Linked DNA regions of Mus musculus. Each later gene encodes a partner of the first gene's protein in a complex. Links are inferred from orthologs where the notes say so. Each region holds a gene or a part of one and is shown on either strand. Other genes may lie near its edges. The genes, in order: Alyref, Thoc7, Magoh, Thoc3, Chtop, Thoc5 and Sarnp.

Region 1 (4,434 bases):
AGTTCAGGCTAGGAGGGCTGTTTGGTCAGGTGTTCAGGGTGCTCATGGGCAGACAGGTGTGGGTGACCTGACGGAAGAAGAACAGGTACCTTTGTCTTTACGACTACAGCCCCGCACTCAGGTTGTACTATGGCGGTTCTGAGAAGGCTTCACAGAAGTGAATCTTCCGGAAGGAGCTCAAGGAGGGGAGGGATGTAGCTTGCTGGATGGGGGTTCACAAGAGGTTGGTCCAGATGTGTGGGGCAGCATGAGAGGTGGCAGAATGGAAGAGAGAGACAAAGGGGCAAATGCAAAGTATCCTCAGCCAAGGGGGGGGGGGCAGCCCAGATTCCTACAGGGAGAGGTGCCAGCCCCAAACTCCACACGCCCCACAGGCATCCAGGGCCCAGTCCCAGACTCACCATCCAAAGGGACACCATTGTACTGTTTCATAGCCTTCAGGGCATCTGCTTTCCGTTCAAAGTGCACATCTGCTGTCCCTAAACTTCGTCCAGAGCGATCATAGTGCACAGCAGCTTTTTTCAATGTCCCAAATTCAGCAAAGAGTTCCTGGGAAGGGGTAAAAATTAGCAATTAAGCCAATTTCCTTCTTGTAGCTCAGCAACACTTGCTGTAAGTCCTTATGCTTTAGAGGTACTTGACTGACAGCCACCCAGGAAGAAGGCAAGGCAGTGGAGATTAAGAGCTGAGGGAAGGGGAGACAGCAACTGTCGCGAACAACTGGGTTACTGTCCACTGTGGGACAATGTAATTACACCATGCTGTAGATGAGGGAAGACACAAAGTCCTATCACAGGACAAAACTACAAAACTCTCTCTCAGCAGGGGTACTTTCAACTTGACTAACTGCGTTTCACTAAATACCAGAGGCCAATAGTAAAACTGTCCATTGAGCAGACAACGCAAAGGGCCCAGTATTTTGGGGAACTGTGACACAGCCCCTACTGCAAAGGCAGGTTCTAGCTCACCTTCCCCTTTCCTCCTACTGCCTGCTGCTGCCAAGTCTGAAGTGAAATGCAGCATGGAACCTGTCCTGGCTGGGAGTTGGAGAGGGAACCCACAGAGTAAGGCACTTCAGCTGCAGGCACACAGTGGGGAGTACAGCTAGCTAAAGCAGTTTCCAGTGGATGCCAGAAACCACCTTTAAAAAAAAGTGTTGAGACAGGCTGGAGAGATGGTTCAGGGGTTAAGAACACTGGCTGCTCTCTTTCAGAGGACCTGAGTTCAATTCCCAGCAACCAATGTGACTCACAACTATCTATAATGGGATCTGATGCCCTCTTCAGGTGTCTCTGAAGAGAGTGACACTGTACTCAAATCCATAAAAATAAATAAATAAATCTTAAAAAAAAAAGAAGTGTTGAGACACTGTGAGTGCTCACCAGCCTTGTTCTTTTCTCCCATGGGGAGGTCAAACAGCTGGGCTCTGGGGAACGGTACCCAGAAAGGCCCAGCACACCTGACTCAGTTCTGGCTATATCAAAGCTAATTCCCAAAATTATGCCTTGTAACCAGAGAACTCTAAATGCCTCTGAGGTCCAGTTTATAAAGAAATTTAAAAAGACACAAAATCCAAGAAGGGAGGGGAAGAGAAAAAAAATATTTCGAAGGCATGGAGAACCATGACCCAGGTAAGACCCAGGAAAGATCGCCAGTTAAGATCCAGCACAGAGACGCAGGCTGGAAGATACTCTCAGCCACCTTTCTCAGCATCTGGGAGATGCTGGACTTCCTTCTCCTATCAGTTCACCATATCGAGCATAAATCTGAGAAGCAAGCACCTTTCGGTCATGCTGGGACCGGAGTTGTGGCCAGTCTGTGCAGGTTAGAAACTGTAAGCTCTGGCACAGGGCAGGCGCTCACAGTTTGGACAGCAGACAGGACTCATTTTTAGGGGGGCGCGCGCACACACACACATACACACACAGTGTGTGACATCTTCCTGCAGCCTGGCTTATGGGGTCGTGCTCAAACCCTACTTTTTCTGAGGCCAAGGCTCTCAGGGTGACAGTGGCTGGCTCTGGGCAGCCTAGGGGAGGGCAGGTTCCAATCTGTAAAGGATCCTGGAGCCCACGTCCGCGTGGGACGAGGAAAGCGGAGAGCTCCCGTCTCCTACCTGAATATCAGCATCTGACACTCCGAAGTCCAGGTTGGACACCAGCAGCTTCCCGCCGGTCTCCACGCCGGCTCCACCCCCGAAGCCGCTGTCGAAGAGGTCGTGCTGCCATTTGTCGGGAAGTTGTTTCGGCTGGAGAGAAACCGTAAGCACAGAGACACTCGTGAGACTCGTCCCGGGAGCCCGCGACACCTCGGCGACGCTCTCCCGTCGGCCCCGCGGCCAAGGTCGAGGAGCCCCGAGAGTCCCCCAGCCCCGCCGCTCCGCTACGGACACCCAAGTTCTCTCGCAGCGGCCCCCGCCGCCACGAGGCTGGACCACGACCGGACAAAGCGTCCCGGAAGATCCTGGCCTCGGGACGGCCTCGCCCCCGCCCACCCCTCGGCCGCGGTCCCGCGCGGGACGCTCACCCGGTCCCGGCCGGCCCGGGCGCACCCTCCCCGGCCCGCGCCGCAGGTCCCCGCACTCACTCTGCTGTACGGCGCCGGCCGGTTCCTGCCGCCGCCTGCGGCGCCGCGGGCGATGGCGGGCCGGTTCCTCATAGGCCCGCCGCCTCGATTCACCCGCGCGGCGGCCTGCACTGCGCCGCCGCGGCCGCCCTGGGAGCCGGCCCTGCCGCGACCCCGGCCCCCGCCGCGGCCTCCTCGCTGGCTCCGGTTCAGCTTAATGATGTCGTCCAAAGACATGTCCATTTTGTCGGCCATGGCGGGCGCGGATTCGGGCCTCGGATCGAGCCCGCGCGTCAGCACGCCGCGGCGTCACTTCCGGCGCCTCCCCCTGCCTTCCGGCGTCGCGGGCCCGAAGCGAGCGGCGATTGGTCTGGGCGCGCGCGATTCCGCAGAGCGCCTGCGTACGGCTCGCCGCGGTGGCTGGCGCTACTTCGGAGGAGCCCGACGCGGCGCGGTCGTTTTTATACATTCCCGCGCGGAGGCAACGGAAGGGCGGGGCGCCTCGTGATTAGGCCGCGGAGGTGCGAGGGCGAGCAGGGGGCGGGGCCTGCGGGCGCCTCCCTGGGAGGCCGGAAGATCCTCGGGCGTCGCCTGGGTGCAGCGCAGTGTGCGCGTCCCGCGTCCCTCCTCACCGTGCGATCGTGGGGGTCCCGGCCGGTCCGTGGGTCCGACTTGGTTGTTTTTGCTCGAAGGCTCGGTCTCCTGACGAGCTGGCGTCCTCACCCCTGCTTTAACTTCGCGGATTAGTGACAGTCACTCTTTCCATATCTTTAAAAGCGAGGCCCTGGTTAGTGAAAACCAATGTTTTGCGTGGATGCGGAGGTTTTGTTTTTGTTTTTTTGTTTGTTTTCGTTTCCTGTTTGGCTGATCTGCTTCTGCCCCGGGATTAGAGGCGTGTGCCACCGTGCCAGACTACATGAGTGCAGATCTTTAAAGGCATCCTTAAAGGTGGCAAAATAAACTCGTGCCATTAATCCCACAGGCTCTCCTTGCCGTCTTTAAAGACAAACACGTGCCTTTTTCTTTCTTTTTGGTCGGGACGCACGGAATTTTGGAAGATGCCGTTCTTGACGAGTGCAGCACTTGCCGCAGCTCCATGACTTTGAGCTTAGGTGCTTTCGTATTCCGTACTAACTCCAGGTCATCCTCTTCCCTCAGGTCACAGGCTCTGTTGTCATGAAGGTGAAAATTAAATGTTGGAATGGTGTGGCCACTTGGCTCTGGGTAGCCAATGATGAGAACTGCGGCATCTGCAGGATGGCGTTTAATGGCTGCTGTCCAGACTGTAAGTGTCTTCCTATGCGCTCTCAGAACTTTAGCCTACTCCACCAGCCTAAAAATCCCTAGGTTTCCCAGCACTGGGTAGGCAGAGACTGGAGGATCTCTGAGTTTGAGTTTAGCCTGGTCAACAGGACAAGTTACCTAACCCTAACCGAAACCCCACCGGACAGTGGTGTTGCACGCCTTTAATCCCAGCACTCTGGAGGCAGAGGCAAGTGAATCTCTGAGTTCAAGGCCAGCCTGATCTACAGAGGGAGTTCCAGGACAGCCAGGGCTACACAGAGAAACCCTGTTTTGAAAAAAAAACAAAAAACAAAACAAAACAAAAACAAAAAGCCAAACAGTGCAAGTTCCAGGATAACCAGGGCTACAAAGAAAAGCCCTGACTTGATAAAAGACCAGGTAAAACAAAAACAAAAAATTGTGGGTTTTAGTTTCTATTATCTGAGGGGAAAGTCGACAGAAAAAAGAAGCAGAATACTTCAAGCCCAGGTTTGTCTAAAGACCCCATCCAGCATGATGGCAAACACCTGTAATACTAGCATTTGAGAGGCAGAGGCAGAGACTAGTGGATCTCTGAGTTGGTGG
Region 2 (4,750 bases), on another chromosome or scaffold:
GCCTTTACGTCTGGAGTGCTGGGATAGGAGGCGTGAGTCACCACACCCAGACTGACTGCACTATTTTGTAATTGGGTTTGATGCCTACAGAGGTCTTCTAAAGATCAATTAAATTAAGATCAACTCAATTAAACACTAACAAAGACTAGCACTTATTTTCATTATCACAGCAACAATTACTCGTACAAAAGGTGTGAGCAATTTGTACACAAGATGTGAGTGAATTCTGAGAATGGGAAGCCTTGCACTTTTGGTGTAGAATTAGCACCCATTCAGCACACTGAGGTGTCTAGTTAGAAGGACATACACCTCAGAGGAGGTAGAATTTGACTGGCTCTTTATCAGTCCATTCCATTTTCTCACCTATGATGCCCAGTGCTGGGGATGTGGCTTAGCTCAGTGGTAGATTACTTGCTTAGCATGCAAAGGGCTCTTGGTTCAACCCCTAGTAACATGCATATACACATAGTGACACACATGTTACTGATATCTATGTTCCAGCATCTCTCCCTCTAACCTTCCCCTGAACCTTGCACCTCATATTTGCTGATGGCTTATTTAAAACTGACTGCAGTTCAATTTTCTTCCCCCAAAGCAAAGGAAGGGGCACTTAATAGAGACACACTTCTCCATAGAGAAGTGGAAAGAGGTTACATAGAGAAGTGGAAAGAGGTTAGCAAACAACTTCTGTGTTTAGGAATATTTACTAAACTTTAGTATGTATTTGATTCAGTACAAAGTCCTTTATAACTTTTACTACATTTCATTTTCAAAACACCACTCCAAGGTAGCTTTTATTGTTTCTTCATCAATGCAGAAAATTGAGTCTCAAAGAAGCTGGGTAACCTCCACAAAGGGGAGAAGCTTGTAAATGTAAAGTGGGGCTTCCTCTGGCCTCCAAGGACTAGGGGCTCAAGTTTCCTTCTCTCACCAGCAGAATCCAGTCCTCTTTTGGAGCAAGGCACAGAATCGTCCAAGTCAGAAACCTAAGATAACCTCTGAGCTCCCGCATCTGAGCAGTCCTGACATTCTCTATGAGTTCTGTTCACTTTTTGAATTCCCTCAGTTGGAGTTTTGTCATATTGATCAAAGACCCCCTTACCTTCCACTAACCCACTACAGAAGGGGCTAAAATCAGACCACGCTAGCTGGGCTGAAATCGGCCTCAGCAGTTAAGAGCATCCGGCTGTTCTCCCACGGGGACTGAGCTCAATCCCAGTACCTACATACCAGTTCACTACTACCTGCACCTTCTTCAGCCCCACAGGACTGAATACTCTTCTAGACTCTGTTGGTTTTTAACTCACTGAAACTCTGTTATTTAATTCCTTTGGGTACTGGATTCATCTATAAAATGGGGATAACTAGAACACTGTGCAACACATGCTGCAAAATATTATATAAATGTTAGTGAAAGAGAGAGTGATGTCTGCAACCCCCTTCCCATTTCCTCAATATTCTCCAAAGAGTAGAATGGGTCTGTGAATTGTAAACGCACATCTGGTGCTGAAGATTTGGATCAGGATGTAAAACAGTTTTCTAATGAACAGGACTATGGGTTCTACTCTCAGCATTGCAAACAAAGGCGTCAGTTAATTAAATAAAAGCAAATGTGATCACATCACAGTAACAGTTTAAAACTTTCAATGACTGGACGCTGTGACATGTGCCTTTTGTCCCAGCACCCAGGAGGCAGAAGCAGGGGGAATCTCTGTGAGTTCCAGGACAGCTAGAGCTACATAGAAAGACCTTGTCTCTTTTTTTCTATCTTTTTTTTTTCTTTCTTTTTGTTTTTTTGAAACAGGGTTTCTCTGTGTAGGCTGGCCTAGAACTCAGAAATCCGCCTGCCTCTGCATCCCTAGTACTGGGATTAAAGGTGTGCACCACCACTGCCTGGCAAGACCTTGTCTCAAAACCAAACCAAATAACAACAAAAACCCTTTCACTGGCTTTTCCTGATCTTGGAAATTTCATGGTGTAAAGTTTTCTAAGTTCTATATGCCATCTTGAATTTCTTTCATCATTTTGGCAAGTGGTTGGTCACTTGTAATTCCAGTTTTAAAACACCTATTTACCCTTCAAAGGAAGGGGGAAAGCAAATTTGTCAAGTTTTCTAATCACCAGTAGAAAGACCACCTCAGTTCAATTCCCAGGACCCATCTGGTGGAAGTGAAGAAGTGACTTCAGCAAGTGTCCTCTGACTGCCACTCTAGTAGGGTGGCCTGCCTGGGGGAGGGAGGGAGGCAGAGACAGCTCAAAGAGAGGCAGGCAGGCGCGCGCGCGCGCACACACACACACACACACACACACACAGCCACCCTACCAATTTTTAATGTTTACAGCCACTGCAGACGTATAAGAGGAAACACCTTTACCTGCTGCTTCTGGGTATCAAACGTGTTCAGTAAAGTATTGCCTAGAAGTAAGCTAAGTACTTCCTGAATAAATTAAACTCGAATTAAAAAAAAACAAAACCAAGGTTAAAATCCCCCCTACCAAGTTCCGAGGCCTTTATTTATACCCACATCGGTATTTCCTCGGCCCGTCCTCAAATTTGGGCCGATCGTTGTTCATTTCTGGAAGTCCCCTGTTTCTCCACTGGGATCCATAGCTATTGATCAGCCCATCAAACAACATCAAGCCACCGGAACCTTTCTACCAAAGCGGGTACCTTCTCAGTTCCTGCTCCAGTTGCCTATCGTGTCAGTCCATCCTTCTCCCAAACGCGCTCTTATTTCTGCTCTCAGCCCACAGACATCTACTGTCCACCATCCATCACTCCTAATCCACTCAGGCCAACAACTCACCCGCTCCAACATGCCTTCCTTTTGTTGCCGCGGTCCAAGCCGCCGGCCTCTTCCCATGCTGGCGCCTTACCTTGTAAGTCGCCCAGATACACTTCCCGACCGGCCCTCCAGACACCCCTGTTCCTCTTAGCCGCCGTCCCCAGCTCGGGGTCCTCACTCCACCGCCCTCCGAGCTCCTGCGCTCCCTGGGGCCCGCCGCGCTGCCCGTGGGCCCGACCCAGCCCGGCCCGGGAAGCCCCCCAGGCGGCCCCCTCGGGGCACTGCATCGCCCGGGCCGAGCGAGCCGCCCTGCGCCTCTCCCCGCCGCGCACCGCCCCGGGAGCCCCCCACCCCAGACGGCCCGGATCCCGGCGCTGCCCCGCGTCCCCGCACCCGCCGAGGCCTCACCGTCAGTCACGGCTCCCATGGCGTGCGCGGCGGCGGCGGCGGCCGAGCTGAGGCGGCGGTTGGCGGCGAAGGTCAAACTCCCACAATGCAGCCGGGTAAACAGTCATGGAGGAGGAGGCGGCGGCGCCCGCCGCCCTCTCCGACTTTTGAGTCGCGCCGGCGCGCGCGCCGCGCCGCCGCGGACCCGCGCTCGCCGCTCTCCTGGGGCGCGGAGCGGCCGGCGGGTGAAGGGCGAGACGGGCGGCGGGAGGGCGGGCGGCGGCGGCTGGGCCCGGGGACACCGCCGTCCCGCCCTGCCCGCGCCCACAGGCCGCCCTGGAGGCCGCGGCCAGCCGCCAGGTGAGCTTCGGGCTGCGCGCGCTCGCGGGGCTCCGCGCCTGACGCTCCAGGTGACCTCTGTCCCGGGCTGCCCCGACCGTGCGCTCCGGTGGGACGGGGGCGCGGCCACTGCCGCCGTGGGTCTCGAACCCGTATTCTTGAGGCGGGCGCGGCAAGCCATCCTCCCTTCCTGAGCTCTGGCGGGTGCTGGCGAAGCGGGGGAAAGAAACTTGGTCACCTGTCTGGGGAGCGTCACTCAGGACCCAGGGCTCAGGTCCCTCCGGTTCTCACCTCTCATCCAGTTCTCCCTCGCTGCTGGAATCCAGATGGGGTGCCTTCATTTTCATACTAACTTTGCTTTTCAAAAACTGCTTCTTAAAGGGAAGTTGAAAGTAGGTGTTGGGGGTGGGGGTGCTGCTCATTGCAAACACATTACTTGGGGGTGCGGAGTACACATTTCTAGAACACACTGCAGGTTATAGTGTCATCTCTTCTGAAAAATGAAATAAACCACCCCCCTCCCGGGGGGGGGGGGGGAGTCGGGCAGTGAATGCGCTCGCCTTTAGTCCCAGCACTTGGAAGGCAGAGGCAGGCAGTCGAGGCCAGTCTGGTCTACAAAGTGAGTTCCAGGACAGCCAGGGCTACACAGAGAAACCCTGTCTCGAAAAACAAAAAACAAAACAAAACAAAACAAAAAAACAAAACAAAACAAAACAAAACAAAAAATCATTTTGATTCAACATTGAGGAATGTTCTCCTAGTGGAACCATGTTCCTGTTGAGAGTTGATTTGACCTCCAACAGGGTAGAGTTTGACTTTATAACCCAGGTTTTTGTTTATCAGTTTTCATGATCCCAATCCCTTGAACCTTCAGATCCTGCATAAGGCAATGGTGTGGGGTCATTTTTTGGTTGTTGAGATTTCTTAAGTGGGATCCATGCATCGGCCCTGTGTTCCCTCAGTTCTTTCTAGCGGAAGACTTGGGATCATTCAAGGGAGGTGGTTTTTAACCTCTAGGCAGAACTATGTATGGGTCAAATACAGTATCTACTTTTGTCACAAAGGCAGAAATTACCCTGAATGAAGATTTTGAAGCATAAATGACCTCTTCCAAATGTGGAACTGCTCGCTGACTTTTTGAAAGAGTACTGGTCTAAAGGCTCCTCCTAACTTGGACTTTGGACCATGTTCATTTCCTTGGCGTAGGAAGGAGGGTAATATTAATCTTAAATTCAGCG
Region 3 (3,069 bases), on another chromosome or scaffold:
TTCCTCTGCTGATATGCTGCAATGATCTAAGAACCCACCATTAATTCCCACCTCTTCAAGGTCTATACCATTTCCCATAGTACCACCCTGAGGACCAAACCTTTAGTCACATAAATGGAGTTGGGAAGGCCACACTGAAATCATGTCCAAGCCATAGAGTAAAGGTGTATCTCTGTCCATTTGCACTGCTATATTAAAATGCCTGAGACTGGGTACAAAGAATAGATTCACCTCTCAGTGAATTCCAAGGCCCTGTCAGGTTGGTTGTGTGGTGAGGACCCCATCTGTTCTATATGGTGTCTTATTGCTGTAGCCTCCCAAAACAAACTTTGTTCTTCACATGACAAAGGGGCGAAAGGGGACCAGATAATTCCCTTGCCTCCTCTGCCCTTGAGCCCTGATCTTTACTAAAGGCTGTGCCTCTCACTCTTCTCACTATTACTTTCTGAGTTGGATGTTGTTGGGGTGCGGTGGTTTGAAGGAGAATGGCCCCTTTAGGCTCATACATTTTAAACTTGATTGCAGGCTTATGTGCATAAAAGTGTGATGGAAGAGTTAAAGAGAATTATTGATGACAGTGAAATCACCAAAGAAGATGATGCTCTGTGGCCCCCTCCTGATCGCGTGGGCCGGCAGGTGAGTGCTTTATTGACTCTACTTTGTACTTCTTACAAAGAGGAGGAGGACTGCTGCTCTATGGGAGGAGGGGTCCCTACAGAACTAGGAATACCCTGTTCTAGGGAATCATTAATTCCATGTTGGTGTTGGGGATGGAACTCAGGTCCTCTAGATGGGCAATCAGTGTTCTTAACTGAGCCAACTTCCCAGTCCTTTATTACCATTTTGATAACTAAAAAAGTACAAGATAATTCCACCTTGTGTGCTACTTACTCTTGTATTCCAGACTTCTGTAGTCTGTGTTTCTCCTGTCTTGTATAGCCCCATGTTTCTATCCTAATGCTAGGGGTGTGGAGGCGGGGGAGGCCTAATTGTGGTGGCGTACACATCTAATCCCAGCACTAGAGAAGCAGAGGTAGGCGGGTCTCTGTGGATTCTAGGCCAACCTGGGTCTGCTTAGCAATTGTAGGCCAATCAAAGTTATATAGTGAGACCCATCTCAAAAAAGCAAAACAACAACAACAACAAAAAAAAAACCAAAACTTTTTTTTTTTTAAAGGAAAAGATTTATAAATCTGACTTCATTAAAGTTAAAACTTAGCTAGGAAGCCGGGCGTGGTGGCGCACGCCTTTAATCCCAGCACTCGGGAGGCAGAGGCAGGCGGATTTCTGAGTTCACACCTTCAATCCCAGCATTCAGGAGGAAGAGGCAGGTGGATCTTGAGTTCAAGGCTGGCCTGGTCTGCAGAGCAAGTTCCAGGACAGCCAGGACTATACAGAGAAACCCTGTCTCAACAAACAAAAAAACTCTTAAAAGTTGTTTGATAAAAGACATTAAGACAAAGTTGAAACAAACCACAGACTGGGTGAAGATGCTTGGAAAATGTATTTAAACCAATAAAAAGATAACCTGGGGTAGGGGAAATGTTGCAAAGGTTACAAGTAGACAGTATATAGATTCAAATAATAGCCAGCAAACACAGAAAAAATTTACAGCTGCAGTTGTAACCTGCAAAAGTAGGAGAACACTTAAAGTCTCACCCAGGTCTTCAAAGGCATAGAAGGAGCCACTACACTGCTGGTAGGAGTGGAGTGTCCGTGCAGCCCCATCGGCAGCCATGTGGATAGGAGCTAACAGAGTGGGACTTCAGACCTAGCCCCAGGGCTGGCACAAATGTTTACTGAGCTCAGCCCCCAGACCTAGAACATTCTTGCCACATCATTTATAGTAACAGAACTTGGGAACTTAGGTCCATTCAGTAAGGAAATGGCATGTTGAGAGCATTTACGTGTTGAGCAGCTCAACGAGGGTAAATCTTAGACACGGTGTTGAATGAGAAAGGACATATACACGTGTGCTGTGGCCATTTATTTAAAAAGCAAGTGGAAGGAATGCACAGCAGTTTTAGGGGCTGTCAGAATAGAGTGGGCGACAGGCATTAACCTGTGTTTCTTTTAAAAGATGGGGATGGGGAGCAGCAGACGGATCAGTGGGTAAAGGCCCTGAGGGCGCACCTGGCGCTATGTTCAATTTCCATAGCCCAAGTAAAGGAGTAAGGAGAGAGCGTCCACAGGTAGTCCTCATCCCTCCATGCATATGCATGCCTACATGCATAGATCTTACACACACACACACTGCAAGCACAAAGACCAGAGTGTGGTTGAGCCCTCGTCCTGTATGCTTGGTGAATGAACCAATACTGTCTGACTTTGAGAGAGATATAATTTCTTCTTTTTTTTTTTTTAATGTTTTTAGGAGCTTGAAATTGTCATTGGAGATGAACACATTTCTTTCACAACATCAAAAATTGGTTCCCTTATTGATGTCAACCAGTCCAAGTAAGCATGCATGACATTTATCATCAGTTGTGTCTGTTGTTGGAGATTCAACCACACGAGGCCAGCAGAGAAAGATGTGCAGACATAACACAAAAGTGGATGGTGTGGCCGGGCGTGGTGGCGCACGCTTTTAATCCCAGCACTCGGGAGGCAGAGGCAGGCGGATTTCTAAGTTCAAGGCCAGCCTGGTCTATAGAGTGAGTTCCAGGACAGACAGGGCTACACAGAGAAACGCTGTCTCAAAAAAAAAAAAAAAAAAAAAAAGTGGGTGGTGTGGTCCTCCTCATAGGGGCTCCAGGTCACAGTGGTTCAGTATCATGGAAGGGTTGGTTTCAGGAATTCTGGTACTAGAGTCTTTAGTGCTTAATTTCCTTATATAAATTAGTGTCATGTTTGCTTGAAGCCTATGTACTTCCCATATAAGTCATCTTTATAAAACCAAATTCTGGGAAATAGCCGTTATAATGTATCGCTTAGGAAATGATAAGAGAAAATGTCTGAACATACATGTGACAGTTGGAAACCCCATAGACCTAACTATATCCACTCATGGCTGAGCCCACAAATGCAGATAGAGTTGGGCCAGTTGTATTTTCAGAAGTTGCTTCTTGT
Region 4 (4,621 bases), on another chromosome or scaffold:
AGCTGTATCTAACTCCAGGTTCAGGAGACCTGACACTCCAGTCAGCAAGCACACAAATGGTGCATAGACATACATGGCAGGCAAAACACCCATACACATAAAATTTAAAAAAAAAAAAGAAATAGGAAGGGCATTAAGATACACTAAAACCCTCTAATCTTGGAGAGGAGAGGATAAAGTGACTTTGCTAGAGGGAAAGTGATATTTAAGCTGAAACTTTTAGAGAGAGAATTAGCCACAATTCAAGGTGCATCAAAGTATCCTGGGCTGGCTGACTAATAATTGAATGTTTACAAGCCTCAGTTCCCTCAGGATCAACAGAAAAATGTATAATCAGTATCAGTAAGAATTCATAAAATCCAGAATGCCTAAAAGAAGGTAGGATTTTTTTCTTTAATACTCTCTCTATCTTTCAAGTCTTTTGGGACAGGCTCACAGTTAACTCCTCCCTGCAAGGCAGGGTGGCCATTGCAGAGGTCTGACAACCCCGGCCAGTGCCTCACCTGAGGATGTTGATGCAACCATTGCCGTTGGTCAGGAAGAACATGTTGTTGTCGTTGTTCCATGAGATCTCATTGACCTCAAACTTGAACTGCTCCTCCGCTTTGGAGCGGTGTGTCTTGGCGTCAATGAAAGTCACAACGTCGTCCTTGTTGCCCACAGCGATGGTCTGCCCGTCGGGACTCCAACAGATGTTAATGTTCTCCCCTGGGAACCCAGATATAATCCGTCAGCAAGCTCACCTTTGCCCATCGGCCTCCAGAGTTTATTCTGCTCTCCTGGAAAGAAGATCAGAGCTACCTTCAGCACTTATTCCTCACCAAATCAATGGAAGGAAGCTTCCGATGACCAAGAGGCGACCGTGAGTCTAGACATTTGTCAAAGCACCTCCCCACTCCAACCCCTGGCACCAGTCTCATCAAAGTCACGCGTGTCCACACTGAACACAGGTTAAAATTTTCAACTTCATTAAACCTTTTTTCAAAACACCTTTTTTTTTTTTTTTTTGTACTTTACTGTCTATAGTGCAGTTAAAAATCTATCAGAAGGTGTATCAAGAATTCTATTGTGGGAGCTTGGTGGTGATGATACATGCCTTTAAACCCAGCACATGGGAGGCAAAGGCAGGTGGATCTCTCAGTTCATGAGTCTAGCCTAGTCTACACCGTGAGTTCTAGGATAGCCAGGGCTACACAAAGAAACCCTGTCTCCCCCTCAAAAATATATGTGTACATATATATGTATATATATGTATGTGTGTGTGTATACACACACACACACATTTTCTCCCCTGTGGGGCTAGAAATGGCTCAGTGGTTAAGAACACTTGGGTTTTTTTCCCTGGAGACCCAAGTTCAATTCCCTGTACCCACAATTCACAATCACCTATAACTACATTTATAGAGGACAAGACGCCTTCTTCCAGCACCTATACACATGTGGTACGTGTACGTACACACGTACACACACACACACACACACACACAGATGAAAATTAAAAAAAAAATCTAAAATCAACAAAACTGCCTGCCTTACTTTGGGTTTTACTGCTGTGAAGAGACACCATGACCGAGGCAACTCTTATAAAGAACAACATTTAATTGGAGCTGGCTTACAGGTTCAGAGGTTCAGTCAAGTATCATCAAGGTGGGACCATGGTAGCATTCAACCAGACATGGAGCAGGAGGAGCTAAGAGTTCTACGTCTTAATCCAAAGGCATACAGAAGAATGGCTTCCAGGTAAGCCAGGATAAGGGTCTTAAAGCCCACACCCACAGTGACACGCTTCCTCCAACAAGGCCACACCTAATAGTGCCATGCCCTGGGCCAAGCCTACTCAAACTACCACACTGCTTCTTTGAACACAGCCTTTAAACAAAACGCACAACTTTCCAGATCGCCCATGGTTTCTCAGCCATTGTAACCTGCCTGAATCTCCCAAACTCTCCACGCCTCTGCACATACTACTCTTGTATAGTTTCCACTGCTCTCCTATACATCTACAGCCTGCCAGAAAAGTGCTCTGTTCTGTTCCTGTCTTCTCCAGACAGACACATACAACCCATCCTGATAACCTGCACTTGCTACAAAGATGCTTGCTGCAGATCACACTAGCTTTTCCTCCAGAACCCCCTCTCTCTGAACTCACCTTTCGTATTCACAGTGGCGATGCATTTTGTAGTCCTCACATCCCAGATGCGAATGGTTTTATCTCCAGATGCGGTGACAAAGAGGTCAGGGTTGCTTGGGTGCCAACAAAGCTGGTCCACACTATCTCCGTGGCCCCGGTAGTTGTTTTCTTTGACCTTAAAAGAACAGAATCCAGATGCCACTTTTATCCAAACAGTGGTGCCTTGAAACCAGCAAAGATCTGGATAATTCAAAACAGAAATCTAATTCTTTTTCCAAAACTACAACACCCCCTCCCCCCCCCCCCCATGAACCTCTCTGAGCTTTGACATTGGCCCTTCCTGGCCTCCCTTCTTTCTTTTTCCACCACCACCTCAACCAACCTGTCCTGCGCTATCATTTTCAAATAAAGCCTTCCTCTCCACCCTAGGGGCTCTACCACCCCATTAGTCCCTAGCCACTCGTCACCAGGGCTCTTCTAGACCCTCACCACTTTCTGCCACCTGACTTCAACCTCCCCCGGCCCGCAGCCACGTCGCCACACCTCTTTACTGCCACTAAGTTCGCTCTCTGCTCTCCGCCAGGCAGCCTCACCCCCTTCGTCATTCCAACTCTTCCAGCCCCAAACCCCTTCCTCATCACCGCCAACGACAGGCCATACCCCTACCTCTCCTGCTTTTTCTCCCTCCGCACACAGCCCTCTTCTCCGCCAAGCCCGTGCCCTACAAGCTCACCAGCCGGTCCTTCTCCAGCAAGAACACGCTGGCAGTCTTGTCGAAGGACCCCGAGGCCAAGCGACGGCCATCGCAGCTCCAGGCGACCGAGTGCACCTTAGCACTGTGCGCCGGGAATTCGCGCGTCTTGCTGTGGCCTCGGAAGAGCTCCTGCATCCCGAGCACGTAACGAGACGGGCCACTGCTCACTGAGCACCAGGGCGCCATCGAGCCGGGGCCGCTCTGGCCGAGGGCCGAGGGGCCCAGGACCGCAGCGGGCGCCGCCATGCCTCCCTCCTCACGGACCGCGCGCCGGAAGCTGGATACTCTGAGTCTGGCGCCGTCGCCCTGCACATGCGCCGAAAAAGCGCCGCGTCGCTCCGCGCTGGCGCCTCTCACTCGCGGAACTACAAATCCCGCCATGCAGCGCGCGTCCACCTTTCCCTTTTGAAATAGGACTGATTCTTCCTTAAATTCGCTTTTTTTTGTTTGGTTTGTTTTGTTTTGTTTTGTTTTCGAGACAGGGTTTCTTTGTTTGTTTCCTGGCTGTCCTGGAACTCACTCTAGACCAGGCTGGCCTCTAACTCAGAAAACTGCCTGTCTCTGCCTCCCAAGTGCTGGGATTAAAGGCGTGTGCCACCACTGCCCGACTTGCTTCCCTCCCCCTCCCCACCCCCCACCAAGAGTTCAACTTTTTTTTTAAATGGTCTTCTTACCAGTTTCTTGGTAGCCTTGCTTATTCAAAAAAGAGAGTCAAGATAAATCCTCCAGTTTACCTGCATGTAAAATATCTTTTTTCTAGAGTTGTTTTTCACTGTAAGGTCCTCATCGTGCCCTTAAAGCAAAAGGCCATTGCAAGTTGTCGCTCCTGGAGAAAGGTTAGATGTTTGTGGAATGAAGGAATTGATAAGAAATGTGGGTTTGAGCCGGGCGTGGTGGCGCACGCCTTTAATCCCACCACTCGGGAGGCAGAGGCAGGCGGATTTCTGAGTTCGAGGCCAGCCTGGTCTACAACGTGAGCTCCAGGACAGCCAGGGCTATACAGAGAAACCCTGTCTCGAAAAACCAAAAAAAAAAAAAAAAAAAAAAAAAAAAGAAAAAAAAAAGAAAAAAGAAATGTGGGTTTGTCGGTTGGACTTGGGAAAAGTTGTTCGGTTAATTTGAGATTTGGTTTGTTCGGGGGTTTTGTTTTTGTTTTTAGTTTTTGAAGACAGGGCTTCTCAGTGTATCCCTGACTGCCCTGGAACTCACTCTACAGACCAGGCTGGCCTCGAACACACAGACATCCGCCTGCCTCTGCCTCCCAAGACGTTTTTCTGTCTTTTGATCTTGGTTGTTAAAGGATATTGTATATACATGATAGTAAACTAAAAGAAAATAGCGGAAAGTACAATGACCATTTTGTGTGCCATGCTCACATCTCTGATCCTCCCACTTATGTCTCTGTTAAACCAAAAGATACCCGGGTGGAAAAAAACAATGGTGCACAGCCAGGATTCGCCAAGCACTGGAGAAGAACTGTGCAGGGATAGGGGACACCAGAGGAATATATCCAACAAATATTCGTGTGAAAATGTCCTTATGAAGCCAGCTGTGGTGTCGCAGGCTTATAACCCCATCACTGGGGAGACAGGGACAGGCAGATCCCTAGGACTCACTGGCTAGCTGTCTAACTTCCTTGGCAAGTCCCGGGCTAATGAGTGACCCTTTCTCAAAACAGAACAAGGGATGGTGCCTCAGAACCACCTCCGTGTTGTCCTCTGGCCCCCACATACACA
Region 5 (4,706 bases), on another chromosome or scaffold:
GTGGCACATTTGGATCAAGGCTGATGTGGGTTAAAGACTCCTCTGTTTCCACAAACTTGCAAGAACCAGAAACTCAGAAATGCAGCCAAGGGCAGCACAATTAGAAGCGATAACAAGGGCTCAGGTAACAGCTCTTAAGAGAAGTGGAAAGCATGAAATACACGCAGTAAGCAAATATGATGACAAGAAACAGAGATGCAGTTACAAAGACAAACAGAAATGCCGACACTTTTGGAGAGTGAAAGTTCATTCAAAGGACAAACAGGAGGAAGGATCAGAGCACCTTCAAAGTCCACTGAAATAACAGACTCATGAGTTATGGGAGTTTATTACATTCTAACATGTTACTTAGTAACACATGAATACAGGAAATTAATGTATCACATCTTAAAAGATGAACAGAGAAGCACATGTGCTTCTGAAGCAAACACAGGCACTAAATTAAATGCCTTGGGAGTTCTAGCAACAACATAATAAAATGGTGAAAGACACCAAATAAATGAAATTCTCAGAAACAAAAACTGCCTTTAAATACAAATAACCACTCTTTCTGACTCAGGACTTCTGAGAAAGTTAAATTAGTTAAGTCGCTTAAGAGCCTAAGAGGACATTATTCTATCATTCCTGTTATGATTAAGTTTAATAGAAGTAAACACACAGCTGATGAAAGATTTCAAAACAAAACAAACTAAAAAGCAGAATGGGAAGAAAGTGAAATGGAGCAAAGCAAGTGCCTCTTACAAGGCCCAAGAATGCCATTCAGGGGCCTTTGGACATAGTCTCGGCTTGCTACCTGCCTCTTACAGGCCAGACACAACACTGCTGGCCTCGGACTAGGCAGCAAGCCTCTTGCAGCCAGGATATACCATACCATCATGCTGCACCACCCCTGTATCAATGTTAGGAAAAAAAATTGAAGGGAGGGTGTGAGGAGTCTTTTAAAAAATATATCCCACCAGGTAAATATTTCAGATAGCTTAATATAAAAATCTACTGATAAGGGGTTTTGAAACAACTGCCCAATTTGTTTTGTACCACATTAGATGCAATTAAGAACAGAGGTCTGTAGCCTTCTGTCATTTAGCTTACAACTGGCTTTTTTTGTATTGGACCCCAGGGTCAATTTAAGTAATGTTTTCTTAGGAAGGAGCTGAAGTTGCTGTTGGCTGCCTCACCGCTCATTTAGAGACATCTTGGTGGTGCTTTTTAGCACAACTTTCGGCGCTGACTGTGCAGCCATCTTCAAATCCCGAGAATCTACAAAGGACAATATGCATGAGTCAATCAAAATAATGAAGCTTGCATTTTCACAAGAAGCAAGGCATAAATCTGTTAAAGGCCTATATTTTTAACTCTGAAGATGGTATCATGAGATCTTAAGTTTGCCAGGTGGTGGTGGTGGTGCACTTTTAGTCACAGCATTCCTGAAGCAGAGGTAGGTGGCTCCCTTTGAGTTCGAGGCTAGCCAGGTCTACATAGCAAGTTCCAGGACAGCCACGGCTACCTAAGAGAAACCCTGTGAGGTGGGGGCTTACGTCCATACAATAGTTATAAAAATTTCAAAGCTCCAGGATGGAGAACATCTGCCAAAGTCTCCAAAATAGCAGAATGAGATGTAGCCAAAGCCTAGGAGTTTGGCTTTCAATAGTTCTTCTCAGCCTGGACTGTATGTGACTTAGCTGAGGAATGTTTGAAAAAAAAAAAAAAAAGAAAAAGTCCCTCCCAAACTAAACTAAATTCTTGATGCCTGGATCCAGACCAATTAAAGTACAATCTGGCCATGAGGATGGGGTACAGCAACTGGGATTGGGGGTGCTACCCAGGTACATCTTACATGTCTATAGAAAGTTGAGGGTCATGGATCTAGAGAAATGGAGGAGCTGGGAATATAGCTCCTCAGTAGAGTGCTTGTTTAGCACTGATGAAGCCCTGGGAAGTTCAATTCCCAGCAGCAACAGGGGAGTGGTGTAACAGTCTGAGGCTGTAACGGGTTACATTGTCACACTGTGAGGACCGGACTCTCATACACCCAAAATAAAAAGAAAAGCCTAGTTTCAAAATCGATTCTCAACTCCAAATGCAGGTGGAGCTCTAGTTAGACATGGCAGGGGAAAGACAGAAGAGGTTTTCTAAATGGGTATTCAATCTGAGAGCTCTGTTAAGAGCACACCACAATATTTTAACTGTAGTGGCATATACTGGGGAGGGGCTGAGGCAAGGGGGTCACAAGCTCAAGGCGAGCCCGGGTGATTTGACAGACCCTGTTTCAAACTAAGATTATTATTATTTTTAAAGCTGGAGATGTTAACTCGGGGCGCTAGTTTAGCCAAAGTACGATTTTGGGTTCAACTTCGGTGCCGCAAAAAAAAAAAAAAAAAAAAAAAAAAGAATCAAAATCGAACACCCAGAGCCGCCGCTAATTCCTGTACTCCTCATTTGACCTCCACCTCGAAGCCTCTCAGGACTCCAACTTTGATCAGGCGACTATTTCCGTGGTTATCCCCATCAAACGCTATTCTGGGGCGAGGCTTTGGCTCCGATGGAGGACGCTTATCTAGGTAAGCAAGACACTGGATTTGAGGCCAAACCACTACGACCAGCACCACCAGCACCAGCACCTGCACCAGACACGCCAACCACAAGCAGCACCCGCACGGCTAGCGGCCCAGCTCGCTGGCCGCGGTTCCGGCTTAGCCTCCGCCTCCCGGCTCCGCCCCCTCCCCGGCCTCTGCGCACCTCAGCCCGGTCCACACCTGCCACCCACGCCACCGGGCCCCGGACCCCGCGCCCCTCCACCTCTGCCCTCTCCACAGAAACTCACCGAAGGAGATGGACGCCAGCGCTCCTCCCGGGGTTGCCACCACGGCTGCGGCGGGCGGCCCGGAGGCCGGCCTAACCTGAGCTGACGGCGGGCCGCTCGGGTTAACTAGCTGGGCGGTTGGCTTAGATGCTTAAACGGTAGGATGTGAGGCTTCCTCGTTGTGGGTTGAGTATCTAGCTGACCGATCCTCCCGCTCGTCAAGCCTGCCCTTTCCTGCCTTTCGTCTGGGCCCCCAGAGCCGGCGCCGCCAACTCCCGCTTGGTGTCCAAAACAAAATGGCCGCCGGGCCCACCAGTGCAGCGTGACCGGCTAAAATGGCGCCGACGGGCTTGCGTCAGTGCGCGCGCAACTAGGGGCGTGGCAACATGGTCCTTTGGCCTAGCGCAAGAATCGCAGCGAATCCCCACTGACTTTGGCAAAGATCCCTTAAGTTACGTGTAGTGCTCCGCCTTCGGGGGCGTGGCCAGTGGCCGTAATCGCTAAGTACCTCTAGACTACCTTCTGGACAAGTTTATGCCCCACTTTGGTGGGATTTTTGGCTTGCAAATAGCAGCTTAGATTGGCAACAGTGTTTGTATCCTTTTATTTCCCATTCCCAAGCTAAAGACAACTGTAAAAAGTCTTTATTAGGACCTTGAGACCTGGCTAATTTGCTCAGGCCCTCAAACCTATTTGTAGAGTTTCTGTTTCTTTTTGAGGCAGGCTTCCTTTGTGTAGACCAGACTGGCTTCGAACTCACAAAGATCCACCTCCTGACCCCCCCTAACCCCGCCCCTCCCAGTACTGGGATTTAAGACCCACACTGGACTCATCTACATCCTTTTATAGGGACTGCCTCTAGAAGATGTGGCTAGTTTTAGGGTGGGTCTTTTTACCTCAAGTAATCCAATAAAGCAAATCTGTATCCCCACTTATGTATCCCTAGTTCTTACATAATGTCTAGCAATGATGAGGCATCAATAAACACTGAATGAAGCTTGGGAAAAAGTTCTTCTAGTAGTTTTTTGGTTTTGTTTTCTGGTTTTGTTTTTTTGTTGTTGTTTTTTTTTTTTTTTTTTTTTCCGAGACAGGGTTTCTCTGTGTAGCCTTGGATGTCCTGGAACTCACTCTGTTGACCAGGCTGGCCTTGAACTCAGAAATCTGCCTGCCTCTGCCTCCCGAGTGCTGGGATTAAAGGCGTGTGTCACCACTGCCTCTGGTAGTTTTTTTGAGACAGAGTCTCTATAATGTAGTTCTGGCTGTTCTAGAATTCTCTATACAGACCAGGCTGGGCTTGGACTCACAGAGATCCTCCTGCCTTTTACGTCCCAGGTGCTGAGCTGGTGTTAACTATGGTACGTGCCACCATTTCTAGCTTTCTTCAGATTTTTTAAAAAAGATTTATTTATTTATTATATGTAAGTACACTGTAGATGTCTTCAGACACACTAGAAGAGGGCACCAGATCTCGTTACGGATGGTTGTGAGCCACCATGTGGTTGCTGGGATTTGAACTCCGGACCTTTGGAAGAGCAGTCAGGTACTCTTACCCACTCAGCCATCTCACCAGCCCCACATTTTTTGATGGCTTGTTTATTTCTGTTTCTGGCTATGTAGTATGGGCTGGCTTGGAACTCAAAATCTTCCTGCCTCATCCTTCAAGTCCTGGTATTACCAATTACTCATACAAATCCTTGAGAAGCCAATGACACTTGGATTCCAGCTAAAATTTTCGGACCCCTACATTTCTGGGTTTTGAGTGTTCCTTAAATAAGGAACTAATGTAAACTTGACAAGATAAGGTGTTGGGAGTGAGCACCCCTTACTTCACACATAGCCATGCCCAGAGGGTACAGACATTGATAGCTGGTGAGAGAGAAGGCTTTATTAAAACAAGTGGCAGATC
Region 6 (3,984 bases), about 120 Mb from region 1:
CCACAAAAAAAAAACAATCAAAGTTCAGTCAAAGCTTTGTAGCATGGCTCAGTCAGGGCAGTCTCCTTGGTTGCTTGATCCATGGGCTGACAAGAACAGGTGAGCCAGGCTGCAGTTGCAGGGAAGTCTCAGGAAAGAGAAAACAAGTGTTTCCTGGAAATCTGGCTGCAGAATTGTCTGCCACAAAGACAGATGCCCTCTCTGTGTGCCAGGTCCTGTCCAATGAGACCTAGTCTTCTAGAGGACTGCGATCTCTGTTCACATCCTTGAGGAAAGTCACAAGAGCCCAGCCCTCTACTCACCTAAAAAGCCGCAGGCACATCTTCTCCTGGGGAAACTCCTTGGGGCCCTCGAAGCTGTCATCGTGGCTCTCGGTCTCCAGGTAGACGTCCAGCAGCACACACAGTCTCTGCAGCTGGTTGGTCAGGAGCTGGTGACTGGGCCGAGGGCCACACAACTCCTTATAGCACACGTTGACTTCACTCTCCATAGCCTGTGTGGGTGGGAAGCCAGACCCTCAGCATTTGCTTCCGCAGTATGGCCGAGCACTTTTACCTCATGGCTGAGCCTGACGGTACCACAAGATCTCCTGCTGATGCCTGCACAGGATCTGTACACAGCTGGGCTACAACCTCGTCCAGAGACCCCGTCTCCTCAAGACAATGGGCCCCTCCTGATTATCACCCACCTCGCCACCTCCAGCAAGGACCATGGACATGTAGAGGAAGACATGTTCTGTGGCCACCAAGAGACTTGTCCTTGACAGTAGCTACAGCACTCACTCTCACTACAGCACTCACTCTCACTGAATTTGAGTTTCTATAATACTTCTGAGCTTATTTACCATCACACAGAAGCCCAAGGTGACAAGAAACCTTTTGGGTGTTTTTGGAGGCAGGGTCTCACTAGGCGGCTGGCCTGGAACTTACTATGTAGACCAAGCTGGCCTTGAGATTAGAGATCTGTCTATTCTGTCTTCCCAGTGTTGCGATTAAAAGTGTGTGCCGGCACACCTTGCTGAAGGGAGTGCAGGAAACCCTAAGTGCAGGAGACCCCGAGTGGATGTGTGTTGTTGACATGAACTGGCCTATCTAGGACCCTAGCCCCAGACCCACCAAGTACAGCAAAGCCTCCCCCTGCCTGATATGAGGCCAGGAGGAATGCCAGAGCCTTCTCTTCTCATCTGTGTGTAGATGTTGATGGTGTGGACACAAAGTGTCCACCACAGCTTTCTCCTTCTGGGTAGTTACAGCCTGGAGATGGCTCCCTACAGCCTGCTCCTGTTGAGGTTGGCTAAGCCTGCCTCCTCGATCCATCTCTGTAGCCCTGCTTCCCTATGCAATCTTACGTAGTAAACATGCCGGGCCTGGGGGTGGGCTAAGGGTTCTCCAGCCGAGTCAGACACTGGACTGCAGCTGTCTGTGTGTCTGTTTTTCCCTCGTCACCCCCAGTCAGGTACTGGAGTGGTACACAGACACTGCCAGTTAACAGTGCTAACAGTACTACATGGGAAAAGCTGTGGGTCAGGGAAATTAAGCGGTGAGCACGTTCTGTAAATCCTGGTAAGGCCCTGTCCTGAAAGTGACACTGCCCACAGCCTCAGCAACTGCAGGCTTGGCCACTGCTCACCTCTCTAGGGCTCTCCCTGGTCTCCTGCCACCCACGTGGGCCTTACCCGAATATTGTCATCGTTGCTGTTGGTTTTCTCCCCTTTCCAGTTTAGACAGAGTCGGAAAACCGGTGGGATGGAGGAGTAGCCAGGGTTTAGTACCACAGCAGCCTGAAGTTTAGCTGAGAAGAAGGGAGAGGCAGACATTCAGTGATTACCCAGCATTCCATGGTGATCTCCACACGTGTCCAGAGCCAACACAAATGGCTCCTCTAACTGAAGTGCTGCTGAGTATGCTGGTATAGACTGCTTTAGGATGCAAGCTGAGCTGCCAGGTCCCCAGTGTAAGGCACAACGACTCTGGTTCCCCCAAAGAGCCTGTTCTACTTGCTGGGGTTTGTCAATGGATTAAAAACCCTGCTACTTCGAGAACGTCGTGTGTGCATGTGTGTGTATGCCTGTGTTTGGTTGCTTGCCTCCATGTATATTGGCACCAACATGCATACATCACCTTTGGGATGCAGAAGAGGGCACTGGACCCCTGGGACTGAAGTTACAGACAGTTGTGAGCTGCCATGTAGGTGCTGGGATTGACCTCAGGTCCTCAGGACGAGCAGCCTGTGCTCTTAACTACTGAGCCATCTCTACAGCCTCTTCCTTCCTCCCTCCCCACTTCCTTCCTCCCTCCCTCCCTCTCTTCCTTTCATTCCTCCCTCCCTCCCCCTCCCTGTCCTTCCTTCCTTTTCTTTCTTTCAAGAATTTGTTGTTGTTGCTGTTGAGAGTCTCACATAGCCCAAACTAGCTTCAAGTTCAATCTATAGTCAAGGATGGCCTTGAATTCCTGATCCTCCTGCTCTGACTCCCACCTAGGACTAGCGGCAAATGGTCCCAGCTCCTCATATCACATCTGTCACTGTGAGGCTCTGACAGAAACTTCTCTACCAGTAAGGAGCTGCAGAAGTACAGGACTGAGCTCAACCGGAACAGCCTGGCATCAAATCTGCTTTCATAATCGGTGAATAAACTATCTCCATATAGTAAGTTCCCCTCTGGCGACAGCCTTTGACCTTTCTTCCCCCAGGAGTGCGGGGATTAGAGCTGCACTGCACTGCACTCCACATGCTGACGTGGCTTCTGAGAATCAAGCTCAGGTCATCAGGTTTGTGCAGCAAGCGCTTTAACCTCGAGCCCTCTCCTGGCTCCCAGACGGCTTTGGATTGGTCCTTCTGATTTGGCTCATATGCATTACCCAAAGATATTTATACAAGAAGCTGGTAGCTCTGTGCTGCTGCCCAGTTGAATCTGAAGACTCGGGCTCTCGTGAGAGGTAGCTGGGTTTTGGATGAGAGGGAATTGCCTTCTAAAAGGATTAAGGGCCTTGGGACTCTGCTTAGTGTCTAGAACGCTGCTATAGAACAGAATTAGCTCCCAACTCCCTCTGGTTTCCTTTTCACCTGTGCCTTCTTCTCCACATCTCTACATTATCACCTGCCACGAGGCTGTCATCAGGTCACCTGGGACTTTCAGCCTTCAAATAGTAAAGCTAAACCAGGCATGGTATCTCATGTGCGCAATCCCAGTGCTCTGGAGGCTAAGAAAAAAGCAGATGGGGAGTTCAAGGCCAGCCTGGACTACATAATGGATTCTGGCCAGCTTGAGCTGATCTCAAGGACAAAATTAAAACAGAGTTAGACAGATCTCTGTGAGTTCCAGACCAGCTAGAGCCTCATGAGACTCTGTCTCAACGAAACAAACAAAGAAACAAACAAAGCGGGCCAGTGGGACAGCTCAGAAGGTAACAGTGCCTGCTCCCACACCTCGACCCGACTTGATCCTTAGAACCCATAAGGCTGAAGCAAAGAAGTGATTCCCTCAAGCCGTCCTCTGATATATAACTCGTGTGCATACGTGCGAGTGTGTCTTACATCTGAGTGCACACACGTACATTATAAATAAATTTAATAAAAATTGTAACAAGCAAACCCACAAACTTTTGAGCTAAATAAGCTCTTCTTTATAATGCTTCCAGCTTTGGGACATTCTGTTTAATTTATCTTTTGTGGTACTGGAAATCATCTAAGGTCTCAGGTATGCTAGGCAAGTGTTTTACCCCTGAACTATATCCCCAGCCCACAAATGCTATTACATCACTCAACCTATCAAAGAATGAAGGACATTCTCAGCCCAGTGTTTGTTGCTGTGAGGCAGGGGTAGGATAACAGCCTAACGCCTGTGCATGATGTCAGTGACCCCTGTGGAAGGCCCTGGCAGGATCAGATGTCAGAAGAGGAAGGAAGCACAGAGGTCCATGACTCCAGAGGGACTGTGGAGAAGGGAGGGTCTCTGTTATCCAGTCTTTACCATCTAAGGAACAG
Region 7 (3,984 bases), on another chromosome or scaffold:
AGCCAGAGCCCAGGTACCCGACCCGCCTCTGCCTGCCAACCACTAGGATTATAAGCACGCATTACATAGCCTGCTTTTTTATTTCTTTTTTTAAATGTGAGTTCTGGGGATCAAATTCTTTTCAAGCACTTTACCCATTGAGCTATCTCCACAGCCCTTAACATATCGTTTTTAACATTCTACATAGTCTAATATACTACAGTTTACACTTAACCAGTTAATACTGTATTGGATACATGTTTTTTTTTCCAATTTACTGATCAATATATATGGTGGTAACACAAGCCTCATGGCTAAGTCTTTAAGTATATCAGAGGTTACTTCTTGATAAATTCTTAAAAACAAAATTGTGAAGTTAAATACAGTCTCCTTCACTTTAATACTATGTTAGCTCAGAGCACTAAAAAAGTACACATAGTTTTATGCTAGTAAGACACAAAAATAAATGAACAAGGTACTAAAGATTTCTCAGAAGTCCTAAAAAAGAAACCCAATGGTGCGATCTCCTCCCCATAACTTCAGGACGTTCTCTCGATTATTCATGAGGTCTGAAGGGTACAAATGCAGAGCCTCTTAAGGGCTTCTAGAGCCAACAAAGTTATCTAATTTGGAGGAATGAAATCTATAGTCAGAAAAAAACCCAAAGTAAACTTTCTCAGAAGAACCTCTGTATTCTCACCTTTTGTTGGAACTGAAGAAATTCCAAACCTGTAAGAAGAAAAAACAAGCTAAATTTTAGGAAGCTGTTCACACCCTTAGTTGTCTGTGTCCGTGTCAAGGGTGCATGACACTTCTTTCTTGTGATCTCAAACTTTGCAATCATTAGCTAATTCTAACAACCCCATGAAAGAGGTTCAGTTTACTCTCCTTCTCACCAACAGTCCAGGAGTCCACTAAACGAACTCTTCAGACTCAGGAGCAGCTGCCAGTTCCTGACTTTTACCTATCATAAAAACCCTGACCAAAGATGGCAAAACTCAGTGAAAGCTATAACATCCAAATCAGCAGAAATGTCCTGAGTATGACCCAAACTGTATTCATTAAGTTCAATGAAAACACTTCTACTGAAAACCAACAACTATAACAAGAAACAAAGATCTGACCCCCTACACCACCATAACATTTCTATCTTGTATCCAAACAGGTAGAAGCACTCACCTAGCCGCCCGGGCAGCCTTCTTACTCTCCAGGCTTACAGGTACATTGAATCGTTCAGCCCTCTTCTGCATTCTCTAAGTGATATTAAATGAAAAAATTAAAACTGTAATTTCTTGTTTAAAAAAAAAATTGGTTATGGTCATTTCTTAAGATCTAACGGAAATACTGACAACTTTAGACCATATCAGGTAGCAGCCATTCTAAGGCTTAACACAACAATTGTTTCTAGAAAGCAATCAATCAATTAATCTCTCTCTCTCCCCGTATTCACATTCTCAAAAACAAAAAGAATAAAATCCATATTCTACACAAACCCCAAAAGTTCTATCTTGTTTGAAAAAGTGTATCTTGGGGGGGGATAGTATATCAAAGGAGCATATTGGTTCCAGTACAGGTAATCTAAAAACACCACCACCACCACCACCACCACCATCACTTCCTGCCTGAATTCTAAAAGAAGTGAATAAATCTCAACTATAAGCCAGGCATAGAGGTACACTCCCAGCATTCAAAAAGCAGAAGCTGGTGGATCTCTGAGTTCGAGGCCAGCCTGGTCTACACAGTGAGTTCCAGAACAGCCAGAGCTACACAGAGAAACCCTGTATAAAAACAACAACAACCCCTCTACCTTGAAAGTACAAAACTGAACACAAGATCTCAAATGAAACCTGATTTCAAACATCTTGAGATAGAATCCAAAGAAATTTCACTCTCACCAGCTAACAACTAACAACTTAAAGGAGTATCTGCCATTGCTATTTTTCCAAAGTACACACAATCCTCTCAAACTCTAATCCTATACCTATAGACTTATTAAGTTACTATTAAGGCTACAGTGGTATATGTAATCTATGACAGCTTAAAGATAACAACTCACTATGCCAGTCCAAATATTTTCCTGAGTTGGTGGAGAAAGAAACATCAATTGTCAATATTCCCCTAATTCCCTTAAATAATTTGTCTATGAATAAATTATTTACATGGATCAAACTCAGGCTTTAGCCACAGAGATCTTTACCCAGAGTGCCAACTTAACAGCCCTAAATGAAAATTTTACATAATGATGATGACAGAGAAAAGGTTAAAAACAGGAACAGCCAGGCATGGTGGCACATACCTAGAATCCTAACACCCGAGATGCTGAAGTACAAAGATTTTGTTTGGGGCCAACCTGAGCTACAAAGTAAATTGCTATTCTAAGGAACAAAAAATAAATATAAAAATGAGAACTCAGTAGTTGAAAGTGCAGGCTGTGCAAGTCTGATAACAGGAGCCCATGTAAAGGCAGAATGTGCTAGTATACAGCTATAAACCAAGTTTTCCTGTGGCAAGATGGGAGGTTGTCATCTTCTGGAAGCTCATGGGCCAGCTAGCCTGGTGTACACATCACAGCACTGGAAACAAGAGTCCTGACTAAGTTCAGCAAGATAGTTCAGTGAGTAATGTTCTTTAATGCCAAGCCAGACAACCTAAGTTTTATCTCTGCAACGCACATGCTAGAAGAAAAACCAATTCCCCCAAGTTGTCCTCTGACCTACACAAGCGCACTCGCACACAAACACGGCTCCCCCATATATAAATAAAATGTAATTTTAAAAAATGTTTTTAAAGGAGAGACCTCTACCTCAACAAAGTGAAGGCAGTCCTCTATCCACACATATACCATGGCATTTATGCATTCACAGCCCCACCCACACCTCAATTAAAATTTAAAAAAGAATACTTACTTCAGTCTGAGGTATCCCAGATGTAATCTTTACCACCTTCTTTTCCGATGCCCTAAGAAGACAGATTTTTAAAAGTCAGAAAACTGCTATCTTAACCCAAAGCATTAGAAATGTGCAAGAATCACCTGAGTTATATCCTCTGCCCCACATGTGTCTACCACCCCTTAATCCAAAGAAACATGAAGTCCATAACAAGTCTGACTCCTTGAACTGTCATCAACTGAGAAGAAAAATTAAAATAAAACTAAGTTATTTTAACTGAAGTTCGAGACCATAATCAGCAAAGAAGTCAGGCTAAAAATACAGGGATGAAGGGACACACACATAAGTCATTTCATTTGCTTTTAGACACTTTATAGTTACTTTTGAACTAAGAACTGTATCTCCAACCTCCAATTATATACAAACTCAATTTTTATCACAATATTTAACTAGCGCTGAACCAGCCCTGATTTCCTTCTTTTATAAGTCCCTATTGCTCCCGTGGGATTGTAGCTCTAGCTGAAACCGTCAAAGCAGAACAAATAAAAATGCCACAGGAAGTGGGTGGGAGAAGAAAGGCTGAATTAGGAAAACATGGCGAGTTACTGGTCAAAAGGCTTAAGAGAAAACAAAAGAGGGGGACCGCAGGGGCAGGAGACAAAGTTCGGAAGTCCCCAGGATAAATGGAAGGGCATTAACTCTCCAACAAACAACTCCCATAAAACTGCGGGTCATAACCAGTCTCATTAAGGTCCCTTATTTAGAGACATGGGCAGCTTTTGTTCCAATATCCCAAACACTTTTCCCATTTGATGCCCTGAAAGGTAGTAATGGTTTAATGACATTTTCAGAGGAAGCAATTCTGGAACCTGATTCTCCTCCATCTTTTTGTTGGAAGTCCTTAGACTAACAGGCAAGCAAAGAATGCCCCCTGCTGACCATAAGGAAGTCCTACAATATTTGTTTTGGCTCAGGAGAAAAAAAAACTTAAAACAAGATAGAGAAGTATATTTACACATAACTTCAGGCGTAAGATGATGTAAAGAGATTTCCTTTTGGATATACAAGGGATTCTAATCAGCCTTGGAATATTCAGACTGTTTGCTAACTCTCCATT

Evidence for each region.
Region 2: Alyref (region 1) and Thoc7 share a complex: the UniProt entries of both Homo sapiens proteins name them as parts of the transcription/export (TREX) complex. The link is inferred for Mus musculus from reciprocal best matches to the Homo sapiens genes ALYREF and THOC7.
Region 3: Alyref (region 1) and Magoh share a complex: the UniProt entries of both Homo sapiens proteins name them as parts of the ALYREF/THOC4-EJC-RNA complex. The link is inferred for Mus musculus from reciprocal best matches to the Homo sapiens genes ALYREF and MAGOH.
Region 4: Alyref (region 1) and Thoc3 share a complex: the UniProt entries of both Homo sapiens proteins name them as parts of the transcription/export (TREX) complex. The link is inferred for Mus musculus from reciprocal best matches to the Homo sapiens genes ALYREF and THOC3.
Region 5: Alyref (region 1) and Chtop share a complex: the UniProt entries of both Homo sapiens proteins name them as parts of the transcription/export (TREX) complex. The link is inferred for Mus musculus from reciprocal best matches to the Homo sapiens genes ALYREF and CHTOP.
Region 6: Alyref (region 1) and Thoc5 share a complex: the UniProt entries of both Homo sapiens proteins name them as parts of the transcription/export (TREX) complex. The link is inferred for Mus musculus from reciprocal best matches to the Homo sapiens genes ALYREF and THOC5.
Region 7: Alyref (region 1) and Sarnp share a complex: the UniProt entries of both Homo sapiens proteins name them as parts of the transcription/export (TREX) complex. The link is inferred for Mus musculus from reciprocal best matches to the Homo sapiens genes ALYREF and SARNP.

Annotation. Positions count from the first base shown.
Region 1 is NC_000077.6:120,595,519-120,599,952, forward strand, and holds the start of Alyref (THO complex subunit 4), read right to left. Parts: upstream 2,848-4,434; 5' UTR 2,821-2,847; coding exon 2,587-2,820; intron 2,249-2,586; coding exon 2,117-2,248; intron 550-2,116; coding exon 402-549; intron 203-401; exon of another isoform or gene 90-202; intron 1-89. Other genes in the region: Anapc11 (anaphase-promoting complex subunit 11), read left to right, coding at 3,742-3,850. UniProt on the Homo sapiens protein: Functions as an mRNA export adapter; component of the transcription/export (TREX) complex which is thought to couple mRNA transcription, processing and nuclear export, and specifically associates with spliced mRNA and not with unspliced pre-mRNA.
Region 2 is NC_000080.6:13,957,991-13,962,740, forward strand, and holds the start of Thoc7 (THO complex subunit 7 homolog), read right to left. Parts: upstream 3,214-4,750; coding exon 3,195-3,213; exon of another isoform or gene 3,074-3,194; coding exon of another isoform or gene 2,878-3,073; intron 2,227-2,877; exon of another isoform or gene 2,076-2,226; intron 1-2,075. UniProt on the Homo sapiens protein: Component of the THO subcomplex of the TREX complex which is thought to couple mRNA transcription, processing and nuclear export, and which specifically associates with spliced mRNA and not with unspliced pre-mRNA.
Region 3 is NC_000070.6:107,882,543-107,885,611, forward strand, and holds part of Magoh (protein mago nashi homolog), read left to right. Parts: intron 1-525; coding exon 526-636; intron 637-2,374; coding exon 2,375-2,457; intron 2,458-3,069. UniProt on the Homo sapiens protein: Required for pre-mRNA splicing as component of the spliceosome. Plays a redundant role with MAGOHB as core component of the exon junction complex (EJC) and in the nonsense-mediated decay (NMD) pathway.
Region 4 is NC_000079.6:54,465,677-54,470,297, forward strand, and holds the start of Thoc3 (THO complex subunit 3), read right to left. Parts: upstream 3,165-4,621; 5' UTR 3,132-3,164; coding exon 2,865-3,131; intron 2,307-2,864; coding exon 2,150-2,306; intron 709-2,149; coding exon 504-708; intron 1-503. UniProt on the Homo sapiens protein: Component of the THO subcomplex of the TREX complex which is thought to couple mRNA transcription, processing and nuclear export, and which specifically associates with spliced mRNA and not with unspliced pre-mRNA.
Region 5 is NC_000069.6:90,506,370-90,511,075, forward strand, and holds the start of Chtop (chromatin target of PRMT1 protein), read right to left. Parts: upstream 3,130-4,706; 5' UTR 2,822-3,129; intron 1,258-2,821; 5' UTR 1,241-1,257; coding exon 1,176-1,240; exon of another isoform or gene 1-1,175. UniProt on the Homo sapiens protein: Plays an important role in the ligand-dependent activation of estrogen receptor target genes. May play a role in the silencing of fetal globin genes.
Region 6 is NC_000077.6:4,922,555-4,926,538, reverse strand, and holds part of Thoc5 (THO complex subunit 5 homolog), read right to left. Parts: intron 1,792-3,984; coding exon 1,676-1,791; intron 494-1,675; coding exon 303-493; intron 1-302. UniProt on the Homo sapiens protein: Component of the THO subcomplex of the TREX complex which is thought to couple mRNA transcription, processing and nuclear export, and which specifically associates with spliced mRNA and not with unspliced pre-mRNA.
Region 7 is NC_000076.6:128,845,485-128,849,468, reverse strand, and holds part of Sarnp (SAP domain-containing ribonucleoprotein), read right to left. Parts: intron 2,938-3,984; coding exon 2,886-2,937; intron 1,233-2,885; coding exon 1,159-1,232; intron 709-1,158; coding exon 680-708; intron 1-679. UniProt on the Homo sapiens protein: Binds both single-stranded and double-stranded DNA with higher affinity for the single-stranded form. Specifically binds to scaffold/matrix attachment region DNA. Also binds single-stranded RNA. Enhances RNA unwinding activity of DDX39A.